2 linked regions of the Diceros bicornis minor genome follow. The protein of the gene in region 2 binds, or shares a complex with, the protein of the main gene of each other region. Links are inferred from orthologs where the notes say so. Each region holds a gene or a part of one and is shown on either strand. Other genes may lie near its edges.

The links. Proteins that work in one complex are often made in the same cells at the same time.
Region 1: IQCG (region 2) and EFCAB2 share a complex: the UniProt entries of both Homo sapiens proteins name them as parts of the nexin-dynein regulatory complex. The link is inferred for Diceros bicornis minor from reciprocal best matches to the Homo sapiens genes DRC9 and DRC8.

What each region holds. Positions count from the first base shown.
Region 1 is NC_080740.1:94,593,369-94,601,031, forward strand, and holds the start of EFCAB2 (dynein regulatory complex protein 8), read right to left. Parts: upstream 3,010-7,663; 5' UTR 2,487-3,009; coding exon 2,429-2,486; intron 1-2,428. UniProt on the Homo sapiens protein: Component of the nexin-dynein regulatory complex (N-DRC), a key regulator of ciliary/flagellar motility which maintains the alignment and integrity of the distal axoneme and regulates microtubule sliding in motile axonemes.
Region 2 is NC_080754.1:26,646,701-26,654,269, forward strand, and holds the start of IQCG (dynein regulatory complex protein 9), read left to right. Parts: upstream 1-4,550; 5' UTR 4,551-4,601; intron 4,602-6,932; exon of another isoform or gene 6,933-7,359; intron 7,360-7,569. Other genes in the region: RPL35A (large ribosomal subunit protein eL33), read right to left, coding at 357-380, 1,702-1,846, 3,015-3,167, 3,388-3,398. UniProt on the Homo sapiens protein: Component of the nexin-dynein regulatory complex (N-DRC), a key regulator of ciliary/flagellar motility which maintains the alignment and integrity of the distal axoneme and regulates microtubule sliding in motile axonemes.

The sequences.
Region 1 (7,663 bases), on a different chromosome or scaffold from region 2:
ACACATACTAATAGTGACTTATTCCCTAGAATGCACCGAGCACTTTCCTTCCTATTTATTCAGCATTCCTTTAGCCAGGCACTGTGGTACATGATGGGGATATACAGATGAACAAGAAGACACATCTCCGTTATAACAATATTATGAAATGGGTATAATTATTCCCATTTTACATTTCAGAAACCTGAGGCTCCTTAGGTTTAGCATCTCAGCTAAGATCAGATAGAGCTTTGGGAAGCTGGAATTCAAATTTGAACCTTACTCTAAAGCTCACCTTCTCTACTATTCCATACTATACTCTGGACTATCAACATTTCCCTTTTAAAAAGTAATATGAATCTGTAATTTCTGTTTTTCAGTTTAGATTTCCAAATGTTAGGTTTTGAGAGAAATAGCACAATACAGGGAAACAAATGAACAACAGTAAAACTTATAAAACCTCTTCCATCTAGGATTGATTAATTGGAGACACTTGACCAAGTAATGTTATCAAAGCATGCAAAGTAACAAAGAATATTTTAATACAAACAAAAACAGTAAGTCCTAGGGAGACACCATCATCATGGCAGCATGAGAGGATCCCTTTGTCTCTCTCCTTCAATCTACAGCGAGTAAAATATCCATAACCCAACAAAAGCTACATTGCCCAACACGCCAGGATGATGGAGAGATCCACACATCAGTACATATGACGGTGGGTAGACTGGAGCACATAAAGGAGGCAAAATGGAGGAACAGCAGAGGTGGTGCCCAGGACCCTGGACCTCTGGCCACAGTGGCTGAGCCAGCCACCCCCAGCCCTAAAGAACATGGAGGGTAGCAGTGGAGTCACACATATGACCCTGGCCAGCCAGGCACGGTGGCACCTATAGCCACCAGGGACAGAGCAGCAGCAGGGGCAGAGCCCTATAATCCTGGACCCCCAGCCAAGGTTGAAAGCCACACAGCAGCAGTGGAGGCATGCACACAACTCCAACATCCCAACCGCAGTGGCACCTGCGGCCACAACATAACCGACAACAGCAGAGGTGATGCCCTGCAAACCCAGCTCCCTCCTTACCCTCACCCTCCCCTGACCATGGCATTGAAGCTTCTGACCCAGGCGATCCTGGATGTGGCAGAGGTGTCAGCCATCCCTGTACCCCAGCAGCGAAGCCAGCAACTGACCGCAGGGACACCAGCAACAGCAAGGCATCAGTGACCTCAGAGGCACAGGCAGTGACAACAAGAGTACTGACACCCTGGAGAGAGGCAGTGGAGTGTGAATTGTGCAGATCCTCAAATAAAGCCTGAGGCAGCTCAGGTAAGAGAAACCAAAAACTAGCGCTATAGAGCCACTTACTGAAAAACAAAAGAGAGGCTTCTAATCTCCAACTAGTTAAAAAGTTTGAATCAAAACAAACAAGCTATACCTAAATAGAAAAGCGTTTGCTACGAAAAATGCACCAGCAGAGGCATAACTCAGCAAGCATCATGAAAAGCCATGGTAACATGGCATCACAAAAAGAAAATAACAATTCTCCAGAAACCAAACATAAAGTCAAGGAAGATTGTGATCTAACTGATAAAAAATTCAAAATAGCTGTCATGAAGAAACTCAATGAGCTACAAGAAAACTCAGAAAGGCAGTTCAATGAGCTCAGCAATAAAATCAATAAACAGAAGGAATAGTTTACCAAAGAGATTGAAACATTAAAAAAACACCCAAACAAATTCTGGAGATGAACAACACAATAAATGAGATGAAGAATGCATTAGAAAGCATTGGAAACAGAGCACCATATGTAAGAAAAAATTAGTGAGCTCAAAGATGGAAACCTAGAAATGACGCAGGTAGAAGAGCAGAGAGAGAACTAAGATTTTTTTAAAATGTGGCAATTCTAGAAGAATTATAGAACTCCATTAGAAAGGGCAATATAGGAGGAAGTCAAGATGGCGGCGTAGACAGACTCCGAACTCACTTCCTCCCATAGACACAGCCAATTTACAACTACTCATGGAAAAACTACACGAGACAGAACTGAAAACTGGATAAGAGGAACTCGTGCAACAACGGACAATCCTAATTGAGGTGGAAGAGGCAGAAACTCCATTCTGGAGAGGAAAAACGCCGCCTTCAGAAGCCGCAGCGCTTCACGGCTGCCTGGGAGCAGCCCACAGGTACGCAGCCTCCCTGGAGGAGTGGGACCCTGAGCCGGGGAGCGCCCCCGCTGTAGGCATTTTGTGGACCCAGCACAATCGAGATGAGTGGCATAATATCTGACTTTGCCTGCTACTGAAACCTTGGGGAGTACCCCCAGAAAAGCTGGTTCACAAAGAAATTAAAACTGGCTCTTAAAGGGCCCACGCACAAACTCACTCGTTTCAGAAAGCAATCTAAAATCACCAGAAAGAAAGGTGCACAGTGCTGTGGTGAAAAGAGACTCACCTAATAGGCCCTGAGTGCATCTCGGTGAGGGGTGAGACCTCTCCAGGGACTGGGACATTGGCGGCGGCCATTGTTGTGGCCTGGTATGGGCATGCTGACACAGACACCATTGGAGTTCTCCCTGAGGCCTGCTAGCCCAGGGTCTACCCCACCCCCTAGAGCACCAATTTAATCCAGCTAAGCCAGGGCAGGCAGCGCACCCTAGAGACTGGCCCCACCCAACAACAAGCCCTCAGGCAACTTGTGGGCCTGCATAGATTGGTGACTGGACTCTCTGCTGCCTGGCAACTGAGCTGACTTCAGTGGGGCAGGACGCGCACAAGGAATGGGTGGAGAGAGTGGGGCAGTGGTGGAGTGTGTGGGGCTCCCACAGTGGAGAGACTGGGTCAGCTTCAGGAGGTTGGGGCACGCACAAGGGGCAGGACTGTGTTGACCGTGTGTGTGGACCTGTGGGCGGCAGGGCTTGTCAGCTACAGAAGACTTGTGCCTCTCAAAGACCCACATAGGGGGTTTGCCCCACCTTCCAAAGCCTGAAACAATTGGGTGCTCCTGTGCCTGAGGCCAGCCCCACCGAGCTGCAATCCTCAGAGAGCAGACAAGAGACCTAAAGGCTGGAGGCTTATAGCAAGTGTAAGGCCCTGAGCCTAACAACCTGGCATGCTGGGGGCCTACTCACTTAAAAGAAATACTGCAACACAAATGTGGTATTAGAACTTGCAGCCAACTGTGCTGGGGCTTCCCACACCTGATAAAGAGACTGAAAGGTCCACAACACTACAAGCAGCTAAGCATTACAACAGCTGGCCAGGAGCATAACTCGGCCTCCCTGGGTGCCTACAGGGAGAGCAAACAGGCCACAACAGAAGGACACACATAGCCCACAGAGGGATCACCCCTGGAACATTGAGAACTGAGGGAAGCACACTGCAGGCCTCCTAAGCCATCACTTACATAAGGTCACCTATCCAAGAGCAGGAGACATAGCTGACCTACCTAATAGATAGACATAAGCACAGGGAAAGAGGCAAAATGAGGAGGCAAAGGAATACATTCCAAGTAAGGGAACAGGACAAAAGCCCAGAAAAGGAAATAAGTGAAACTGAAATGAGCAATCTACCTGACAGAGAGTTCAAACAAAGAGTGTCAAGGATGCTCACTGATCTGGGGAGAAGAATGGATGAACTCAGTGAGAATGTCAACAAAGAAATGGAAGATATAAAAAAGAACCAATCAGAAATGAAGAATACAATACTGGAAATAAAAAATTCACTAGAGGGACTCAAAAGCAGAGTAGAGGATACAGAAGAACAGATCTGTGAGCTGGACAAAAGACTAGAAGAAATTACCCAAGCTGAACAGGTAAAAGAGAAAAGAATTAAAAAGAGTGAGGACAGTCTAAGGGACATCTGGGACAACATCAAGCACACTAACACCCGTGTTATAGGTGTCCTGGAAGGAGAAGAGTGAGACAAAGGGACAGAGAATCTATTTCAAGATGAAAACTTCCCTAACCTAAGGAAGAAAACAGACATCCAGGTACAGGAAGCACAGAGAGCCCCAAACAAGATAAACTCAAAGAGGCCCACACCAAGACACATCATAATCAAATTTCCAGAATTAAAGATAAAGAGAGAATCCTAAAAGCCGCAAGAGAAAGTTAAGTTACATACAAAGGAAACCCCATAAGGCTATCAGCTGACTTCTCAGCAGAAACCTTACAGGCTAGAAGAGAGTAGCACGATATATTTAAAGTGCTAAAAGGAAAAAACTTACAGCCAAGAATACTCTACGCAGCAAGGTTATCATTCAAAATGGAAGGAGAGATCAAAAATTTCCCAGACAAGCAAAAATTAAAGGAGTTTGTTACCAAGAAACCAGTGCTACAAGAAATGTTAAAGAGACTGATTTAAGGGAAAAAGAGAAGACCACAAATAGGAAAAATTATCTATTTCCATAGTAAAAATGTAATGGATACAAATGCACAAAAAAGAGGCTAGATATGATATCAAAAACATAAAAGGAGGGAGGAGGGGAGTTAAAGAGTAGAGCTTTCAGACAGAGGTGAAAATAAAGAGACCATCAATTCTGTATAGAAGAAGAAAGGAACAGAGAAGGACTACTAAAACACGGAGAAAAAAAAAGTTAAAAAATGGCAGTAAGTACATACTTATCAATAGCTACTTTAAACATCAATGGACTAAATGCTCCAATTAAAAGGCATAGGGTGGCTGAATGGATAAAAAAACAAGACCCATATATATGCTGCATACAAGAGACACACTTCAGACCTAAAGACACTCACAAACTGAAAGTGAAGGGATGGAAAAAGATACTGCACGCAAATGGCAATGAAAAGAAAGCTGGGGTAGCAGTACTCATATCAGACAAAATAGACTTTAAAACAAAAACTGTAAAAAGAGACAAAGAAGGGCATTACATAATGATCAAGGGAACAATCCAACAAGAGGATATAACACTTGTAAATATCAATGCACCCAATGTAGGTGCACCTAAATATATAAAGCAATTATTAACAGACATAAAAACAGAAATAGACAGCAACACAATAATAGTAGAGGACTATAACACTCCACTCACACCAATGGATAGATCATCCAAACAGAAGATCAATAAGGAAACATTGGCCTTAAATGACACAATAGAACAGATGGACCTAGTAGATATATACAGAGCATTCCATCCAAAAACCGAAGAATACACGTTCTTTTCAAATGCACATGGAACATTCTCCAGGATTGATCACATATTAGGTCACAAAACAAGTCTCCATAAATTTAAGAAGATTGAAATAATACCAAGTATATTTTCTGACCACAACGGTATGAAACTAGAAATCAACTATAGGAAGAAAATCAGAAAAGCCACAAATACGTGGAGATTAAACAAAATGCTACTGAACAATGACTGGGTCAATGAAGAAATCAAAGAAGAAATCAAAAAATACCTGGAGACAAATGAAAATGAAAATACGACATGCCAGAATTTATGGGATACAGCAAAAGCGGTTCTAAGAGGGAAGTTTATAGCAATACAGGCCTATCTCAATAAACAAGAAAAATCTCAAATAAACAATCTAACAATGCACCTAAAGGAACTGGAAAAAGAAGAAAAAGCAAAGCCCAAAATAAGTAGAAGAAGGGAAATCATAAAAATCAGAGCAGAAATAGATGAAATAGAGACCAAAAAAACAATAGAAAAAATTAATAAAACCGAGAGCTGGTTCTTTGAAAAGATCAACAAAATTGACAAATCTTTAGCTAGACTCACCAAGAAAAAAGAGAGAAGGCACAAATAAGTAAAATTAGAAATGAAATAGGAGAAATTACAACAGACACCTCAGAAATACAAAAGATTATAAGAGAACACCATGAAAAGCTATATGCCAACCAATTCGACAATCTGGAAGAAATGGATAAATTCTTAGAATCATACAACCTTCCAAATCTGGATCAAGAAGACGTACAGAATTTGACTAGAACAATCACCAGTAAGGAGATCAAAACAGTAATCAAAAACCTCCCCAAAAATAAAAGTCCAGGACCAGACGGCTTCCCTGGTGAATTCTACCAAACATTCAAAGAAGACTTAATATCTATCCTTCTCAAATTCTTCCAAAAATTGAGGAGGTGGGGAAGCTCCCTAACTCATTCTACGAAACCAACATTACCCTGATACCAAAACCAGACAAGGACAACACACAAAAAAAGCAAACTACAGGCCAATATCACTGATGAACATCGAGGCAAAAATCCTCAACAAAATACTAGCAAATGGCATACAACAATACATTAAAAAGATTATACACCATGATCAAGTGGGATTTATTCCAGGTATGCAGGGATGGTTTAACATTCGCAAATCAATCAACATGATACACCACAATAATAAAATGAAGAATAAAAATCACATGATCATCTCAATAGATGCAGAGAAAGCATTTGACAAGATACAGCATCCATTTATGATAAAAACTCTGAATAAAATGGGTATAGGAGGAAAGTACCTCAACATAATAAAGACCATATATGACAAACCCACAGCCAATATCATCCTCAATGGTGAAAAACTGAAAGCTATCCCTCTAAGAACAGGAACCAGACAAGGATGCTCACTGTCACCACTCCTATTTGACAAAGTACTGGAAGTCCTAGCCAGAGCAATCAGGCAAGAGAAAGAAATAAAAGGGATCCAAATTGGAAAGGAAGAAGTGAAACTGTCACTATTTGCAGATGACGTGATTTTATATACAGAAAACCCTAAAGAATCCAGCAGAAAACTTTTAGAAGTAACAAATACGGTAAAGTTGCAGGACACAAAATCAACATACAAAAATCAGTTGCATTTCTATACACGAACAATGAAGTAGCAGAAAGAGAAATTAAGACTACCATCCCATTTACAATTGCAACAAAAAGAATAAAATACCTAGGAATAAACTTAACCAAAGAGGTGAAAGATCTGTACACCAAAAACTATAAAACATTGCTGAAAGAAATTGAAGAAGGCACAAAGAAATGGAAAGATATTCTGTGCTCTTGGATTGGAAGAATTAACATAGTTAAGATGTCCATACTTCCTAAAGCCATCTATAGATTCAATGCAATCCCTATCAAAGTACCAACAACATTTTTCACAGAAATAGAACAAAGAATCCTAAAATTTATATGGAACAACAAAAGACCCCGAATAGCTAAAGGAATCCTGAGAAAAAAAAACAAAGCTGGAGGTAGCACACTCCCTGATTTCAAAATATACTACAAAGCTATAATAACCAAAACAGCATGGTACTGGCACAAAAACAGACACACACATCAATGGAATAGAATCGAAGCCCAGAAATAAACCCACACATCTATGGACAGCTAATCTTTGACAAAGGAGCCAAGAACATACAATGGAGAAAAGAAAGTCCCTTCAACAAATGGTGTTGGGAAAACTGGACAGCCACATGCGAAAAAATGAAAGTAGACCCTTACCTTACACCATACACAAAAATTAACTCCAAATGGATTAAAGAGTTTAATATAAGACCTGAAACTATGAAACTTCTAGAAGAAAACATATGCAGTACGCTCTTCGATATTGGTCTTAGCAACATATTTTCAAGCACCATGTCTGACCAGGAAAGAGAAACAATAGAAAAAATAAACAAATGGGACTACATCAAACTAAAAAGCTTCTGCACAGCAAAGGATACCATCAACAAAACGAAAA
Region 2 (7,569 bases):
CTTCTGCCCTTCCTGGAACATGCTGTTTCTCCATTTGTCCAAAAGCTTTTCTGAGGCTAGGTTCAAGTGCTCCATCACTATAAGCCTTCCAAGATACTCCTTTCCACTGTCCCCAAAGCTTACTTGTCCCTGTCTCCCACCACCTAAGGCCTTATTAAAATACTTACATCCTATCCTCCTATTGTCTAATGTCTGTAATTGCCATTACATGTAGCTCTCTGGCTTCCTTATACTCTGAAAATGCCTGATAAATTTGAGCACATAGCAACTAAATTTTATGGCAAAGAGATTTTTAAGCCATTTAATAAAAATACAAGGGAACAAATCCAGTTTTATTTATTTACTTTTCAATAAGTTTAAATCCTTGAAGGGTACAGCATCTGGGGGGGGAAAAAGAACACAATGTCATTAGGTGCATGTTACATACAAATTTACAAATGTTATCAATTACTACAATATGGATAAATCTCCTTCCGTTGTCCCATTACTCTTTTAAGATTTTTTATTTTTATTGAGGTAACATTGGTTTATTACATTATATAAACTTCTGCTGTGCATCATTATATTTCAATTTCTCTGTAGATTATATCATATTCGCCACCCAAAGACTAATTACCATCCATCACCATACACATGTGTGAATCACCCATTTCACCCTCCTCCCTTCCCCTTTGGTAGCCATTACTCATTTCTGAAAGGTGTCCAATGACAACTTTTATCCTGGTGGGGAGGGAATTGAGTTTTTATAGCCTCAGTCTCTAGGTAAACCCGCTTTGATTAGGAACAAGTACTGGGAGCAGTGCAAGTCCATTTAATTTTGCTTCTCCTACAGAGTAAAAACCTCCTCTGATGAGAAATCTCAACTGCTCAGCAGGGTTCAAAAGCACCCTGTGACCTCAAGAATACGGCCATGCCTACTCTAAATGAATCCTGACTAAAGAAAACAGGAGCTATTTTAGAAAATCACAGGATCTGGAGTCGAAGACTTGGGCCAAAGTCCTGGGACTGAGAAACATGAGCATCAGTTTTCTTCCATAAAATAAGGCTAATAACACCTATATTATAAATTTATTTTTTTTGTAATGAAGATCAGCCCTAACATCCATGCCAATCCTCGTTTTTTTTTTTTCTCCCTTTTTCTCTCCAAAGCCCCAGTAGATAGTTGTATGTCATAGTTGCACATCCTTCTAGTTGCTGTATGTGGGACACGGCCTCAGCATGGCCGGACAAGCGGTGCGTTAGTGCGCGCCTGGGATCCGAACCCAGGCGGCCAGTAGCGGAGCGTGCGCGCTCAACTGCTAAGCCACGGGGTCGGCCCCCAATAACACCTATTTTAACAAGACTGTCATGATTAAGCAATAGGAAAATATTAAGAATTATGCCAGGAAAACGTATGTTGAATTTTTATTTTCTAGAAAATACTTCAGTGCCCAATATCTTTGCCAGAAAACTGTTCATTTAAATGATCCCCCCCCCCCCCCCCCCGAAGCAGCTTTAACAAAATCTGAAATCTAGGCACAATCCATTTGAATACTTTGCCTTCACTTTCTTTCTAATGCCAAAAAGCTGAAGTAGCCACTAATTTTGCAGCATAACCTACAGGCGATGTTTTATAATCACAATAGTTCTTAGAGTGAAAGCCCAACCCCTTGAGCTTAGTTTGACTCAACAGAGTGCCATACTGCTAATAACTGTACTTACCACACGGATTCTGTGTCCAATCGCCTTAGCAGGAAGGTTGCTTCGGAATTTGGCACGAACCATGCCACTGTTTCCATGAGCACGAGTTACCTTTCCCCAGATTACTCTGGTTTTGTTAGGTTTGCCACCAGGAGTCACTGTGTTGCTTATTTTAAAAGGGGATTAAAAAAAAAAAAAAAGCATGAGAACCCAGGCAACAATGTGATAGAAATTCAAGGTGATCTCTAGACCAGTGGCTCTCAACCCTAGTTAACCACTTAGTCATGGGGGGTGGGGGGGGCAGGAGGAGTAGGGAATGGGGGGAATCTGGGGCATAATTTATTCAACAAATCTTTGAGTACCTACTGTATGCCAAACACTTATAAATGTAATTTTTTGTAATTTTGTAAAACACAGCCATTTACAAAACATAAACCTCTTCCAGAGAATAATCAAGTAATAAATCAGTAAATATATACAATGTCACATGGTAATAGCTACAATATTGGGGGGAAAAAAGCAAAGTGGGACAAGAAGCGTGAGAATGTTTGTGTCCAGGGAGAGGAAGGAATTTGCAATTTTAAACAGCCAGAGAAGTCCTCATTGAGAAGCTAACACTGGAACAAAGACTAGAAGATAAGGCAACAGCCTGTGTTAAAAACCTGAGGAGGTTGTGTCCCTGGCTTGTGGAAAGGCAGAAGACCCCAAGGGTGAATCCTAGCTGATCACCCTAGCTGGGTTAAGAGTAGAAACAGGGAGCCCTGAATGCCCAGGGTCTTAGGGGCTCCTTAACGACTTTGGCTTTTACTAAATGAGATGGCTAACAGTTGGGAGGAGTTTGAGCAATATACAGATGATCTGACTTATAATTTTCAAGGCTCACTCTGCTTGCAGGAGGAAAGGCAGGGCAAAGATGAAAGCCTGTCCCTAGAGATTTTAATTGGTCTGGAATGGGTTTAAGAACCCAGGATTAAGAACCAATGCTCTAGAGAGAGAACATGTTTAACCATGTATATATAACATAATTTCAAGGAATCAACAAAATGAATTAAGGCACATGGAAAGTGCCCTATAAAAACTTAGGATCATAATATGAGAACTTGGCTCCGTCCTTGAAACAATTAACAGCTGGAATTTTTCTAAGCGCAGAAGATACCTAAATCCACCACCACCCACAAAAGTTACATCCTTCTAAAACCTACCATCAGGTTCCTTCAAGACCCAAAGTAGAAGCTACAACAGTACCAACCACTTTACCAACATCTTTTGTTTATTCTTCTTTCAAAATGAAAATGAGACAAAAATCAAAAAGCATAACAATACTATAAACTTACTTCTTTGCTTTGTACACGTAAGCACATCTCTTGCCCAGATAGAATTCAGTTTCATCTCGAGCATAAACACCTTCAATTTTAAGAAGGGCTGTGTGCTCCCTCTGGTTCCGGAGACCCCGCTTATAGCCAGCAAAAATGGCCTTCGACCACAGCCTACGACACACAAGACATATATTAACCATAAGCTGTTAAAAGATCTCGTTTAACTTCAACAAACCACCAGTATGATTTGACTTGTAACGACACCTACCCAAAAGTTATCTATACCAAACATCGAATTTTTTCCCCACTAGTTTTAAGTTTACATTTAGGTTCATACCCAATAAACAAAAAACAACTACAAGTACAAAGCAATTATATTTAAAACGCGTACCTTCCAGACATACTCGTCGTTTTAGAAGTCCTGTCTCCGGCAGGCCTTAAAACAAACAATCAGTTTAAAATCTTGCAGCGCCCGTTTCCCACCTAGTCCCTCCCGTTTCTTAAACCTGTCAGGCAAATCGCTTTTTGATCAGCATGTCACGTTAAGACTATGGGGAAATATAATTAAGCCATCACATCTACACGAAGCACAGTATGGCAAGACACCCCAACCTCAGAGAATGCATGATACCTAGGCAAACTCCAAAACGGAGACAAAAATGATTGTCAACACCCGACACTAAAAGAAATAACTCTTACAAACTCCAAAAGGAAGCCCTAAGAAAATTCATGCCACGATCAGTAGAAAAAAATGAAGGCCAAGGAGTCACAGAAGCACGCAGAAAACAAGACTTTTAAGCACTGAATGGGAAAATAAACCTGAGGAGAGAGACTGTAGACAAGTAAGACAAGCTTGGAGTAGGAGCAAATGGAAACAGAACCCAGCCTAAAGGAGTCACAGCCTCAAAAAACGAGCTAGACGGACAAAGTGCATCTACTTCACTCCGCTAGGGTCCAGGAAGCAACTCCGATTACCGGAGCACCCGTTCTCCGGGCGTCAGGAGACCAGCACCATCAGCCCCACATCTCCTCCATCCTGTCCTCTCTGTTGCTGGAATCCACAGAAATCACTGACTGGCAGAGCCCCCGAGCCGCAGCAGTACCTCGCTCAGGCATAAAGTTGAGCCCATCCCAGTTATTTTCCCCCAAAGTTCAGCAACAGCAGACGCCCTCACCTCCACAGCCTCCAAGATGGCGGAAAAAGAAAGTGGAGGCCCCGTCGCGCGGCCTTGTGGGATAAACATGGGTCCGCCCCCAGTTTAGGCATCTTCCGCGACCGCCGGGGGTGGGGGGGGGGGGAAGGCCTCGGAAATCGTCTTCTGACTGAAACAAGCAATGTTAAAGAGCACTTTTAAAATTATTTCCCTAAGTCCTTTTATCTTTGTAAGCTGCAACATGTATTACTTCGGAACAGAGGAAGGCAAAGTGCTAGACAGCTAAAGGATAAGAAAAGGTGATCGTTGCCATAGAAACACCTTAGTTTGGTTCCTGTGCGTCGGGTTCTGTAGGTGGGTAAGTGAAGCCAGAGTGGCGGCCCCCCCTCGGCCTCGAGTACCCCAGATTTGATTCGCCAACATGGGGGTATCTTTCCCTCTGACCACACAGGTAAAGGCCAACGGAGATTCTCGGATCCCAGCCTGGAAGAGAAAGGCCGAGAGCACGAAGGCAGGAGGAGCTGTTCCTTTTCTTTACCTTTTTTTTTTTTTCTTACTCCTTTCCTCCTACTCCTTTATCTCTTCCAAGAAATGACTTAAGTTCTTACCTCCATCCTTCGTTTTGCCCCCGATGGTGAGGAGGACTGCCCTGAAAAGACTTTACTGCCTTTTAAAGATAACTCATTCAGCTGCCAGGCAAACTCTCGGGGCCCCCAGCACCGTGCCCACACGTAGTAGGTCTTCAGTAAGTACTTGTAGACTAGAATAAGATAGATCAGTAGACATCAGAGATTTACGTTTCCTAATTATTGCATATTTATTTGGGTTACCCTTTGGATTCATTCATTTTTTCAACAAATAGTTTATTGAATGACTGCCATGTACCATCTTTGTTCCTGGCTCGGAGGACGCTGCAGTAAACAAAACAACAGAAATCTCTGCCCTCATAGAGCTTACATCTTAGTAGGGGGAGCAAGACAATAAGCAAGTAAATGGCACATTGGAAGGAGATGTGAGACAAATTTTCTCAATGGAGAAAAATTAAGCAGGGAGGCCACTGTAAGGGAGGCTTTTACTCTGAGACGAGAAGCCATTTGAGGGTTCTGTACAGAGGAGTGACTGAGTCACTGTGTTGAGACTGAAGGGAAGCAAGGCCAACAGCAGGGAGACCAATTAGAAGGCTATTATAATGATCCTGATGAGAGATTATGGCATGTAGAGAGGGGTGATGAGTACTGAAATTCTGAATATATTTTAAGTGTAATGCTGACAGGATTTGCTGATGGGTAAGGAATGAGAGAGGAAAGAGTAAAGGATGACTCCAAAGTTTTGTGGAATAGATGTATATAAATCATATTTAAAATCAGATCCTCTTTTAAGTGCATCAGGATAGAGATTATCTACCTTAGAGCCCTATCCCCTATCCAATTTTCTCTGTCCCAGAAATATGCTAGAAATCCCACTATTAGAGATGTACTAGAAATCCCACTGTTAAATGTGCTAGAAATCCAAGTGTAAGTACTCCTGAGAAGAATAACACATTAAGTGTGAGTTTCATTCCTTTGTTCATTCATTCATTCGACAAATACTTATTGAACACAATGCCTGAAACTTAGGATACAATAGTGAGCATCATTATCAGGATTCCAGCTGTCATGGAACTTAACAGTCTAGTGGGGGAAACTGACATAAACATTACAAATTGTGAAGAGAGCTGTTGAAAAATAAGAGTGCAATGAGTGCTTGAACAGAGGAATCCTGATCCAGCCTGATGAGTCAGGAAAATGTCACTTGCAGAAGTGTCATTTAAGGCATTTTACAAACTGCAGGTGATGGCCCATTAGTAGATCATGATTATAATATTTTTTAAGTAAAATATGCTAGAACTGAAAATATCAGAATGTATCACACATGTTAAGGGTAAGTTGTTTCATGAAACTTTTGTTTCAGTTATTTGTATGTATGTATATTTATATATAAGCTATATGTAAAAATGTATGTGTGCCATTGTAGGTCATTGTATCAGTCAGTGTTGGCCTGGAAGGAAACAGTTGGCAGAGATGAAAATTTACTAAAGAGTCTGCTTACAAAGGTGTAGGCAGGAGTGAAACTATGAGAGATGATGCAGTCTCCAGAAACATGTGGAAGAAGAAGTTTCCTGAGTCCCCAAGAGACAGCAAGATGGAGAGGATTGCCTGATGGGAGCCATGGTCTTTGATAGAGAAATATAGCCGACCATTGGTGATCTGACAGGGAGGGAGCTGGGAGAATAAATACCTATCCTCACTCTCCTACACTTTGTACCTCTTTCCGGAATCTCCCGTTGGTGCACTCCATTTGGGTCAGTCTCTCAGGGCACAGAAAATGGTGGAGATTGGACCTAGAGGGGCAAATGGCAGATACCTGCAAAATGCCACTGATTTAATCTGGTACCTAATAGATCAGTGGGACTTTACAAGGTGAAAAGGTGAGGGGAAGAGTGGTTCACGTTGAAGGAATAGTGTAAGCAAAGACCCTGAGTTGGAAGGGAACATGGTTCCATAGAAGAAGTGAAAGAAGCCTATTGAGGCTGGAGCCATGAGAGCAAGAAAAAGGCAGTGCCAGAGGGATCTGGAGAGAAACAGAGGGGGCCAGATCATGTAGGCCTTATGGGCCATGTTCAGAATTTTAGTTTTTGTCCTAAGGCAAGGGGAAACCATTTAAGGGTTCTAAGGAGAGACATGATCAGATTTTCAATTTTAAAAGATCAGTCTTTCATTTATTTTTTATTTTTTAATTTTTTTTTTTGGTGAGGAAGATTGGCCCTGAGCTAATGTCTGTGCCAGTCTTCCTCCATTTTGTATGTGGGACACCTCCATAGCATGGCTTGATGAGCGGTGTGTAGGTCTGCGCCTGGGATCCGGGCCTGCGAACCCCTGGCCACCAAAGCAGAGCAAGCGAACTTAACCACTACACCACGCCAGATCAGATTTTCATTTTTAAAAGATCACCTCCAATTTGGAGCCTGTTAGAGTAGTTCAAGCACGAAACAACAGCAAGTCCATCATGGTGTTGGGGGATATGGAAATAGAAGGTCAGGTCCACAGGACTTGGTGATGGTTTGGATTGGGGGAATGCTGATCAAGATGAAGGAGGAAGCAGGAATGACCCCTGGGTTTCTAGCATTGAGGAACGAGAAGCCAGAACAGCATGAAAGCACTGGATACTGCGTAAGCATTGCCCTGTCTTACCTCTGGGAAGCACATTTACCTATGCCCCAAGCCTAAAAAATGCAAAAATAAAGAAACGACAACACAGCAAGAGAACAAAATCTTCTTAACACCGCGCTACTTCCTCCTAAGACTCCTAAGACAGAAAATTTGGCTAGTTTGGAGTATCTTTTTTTCAGTTTACGTAAAGATTATGTTTTATATGCTTGA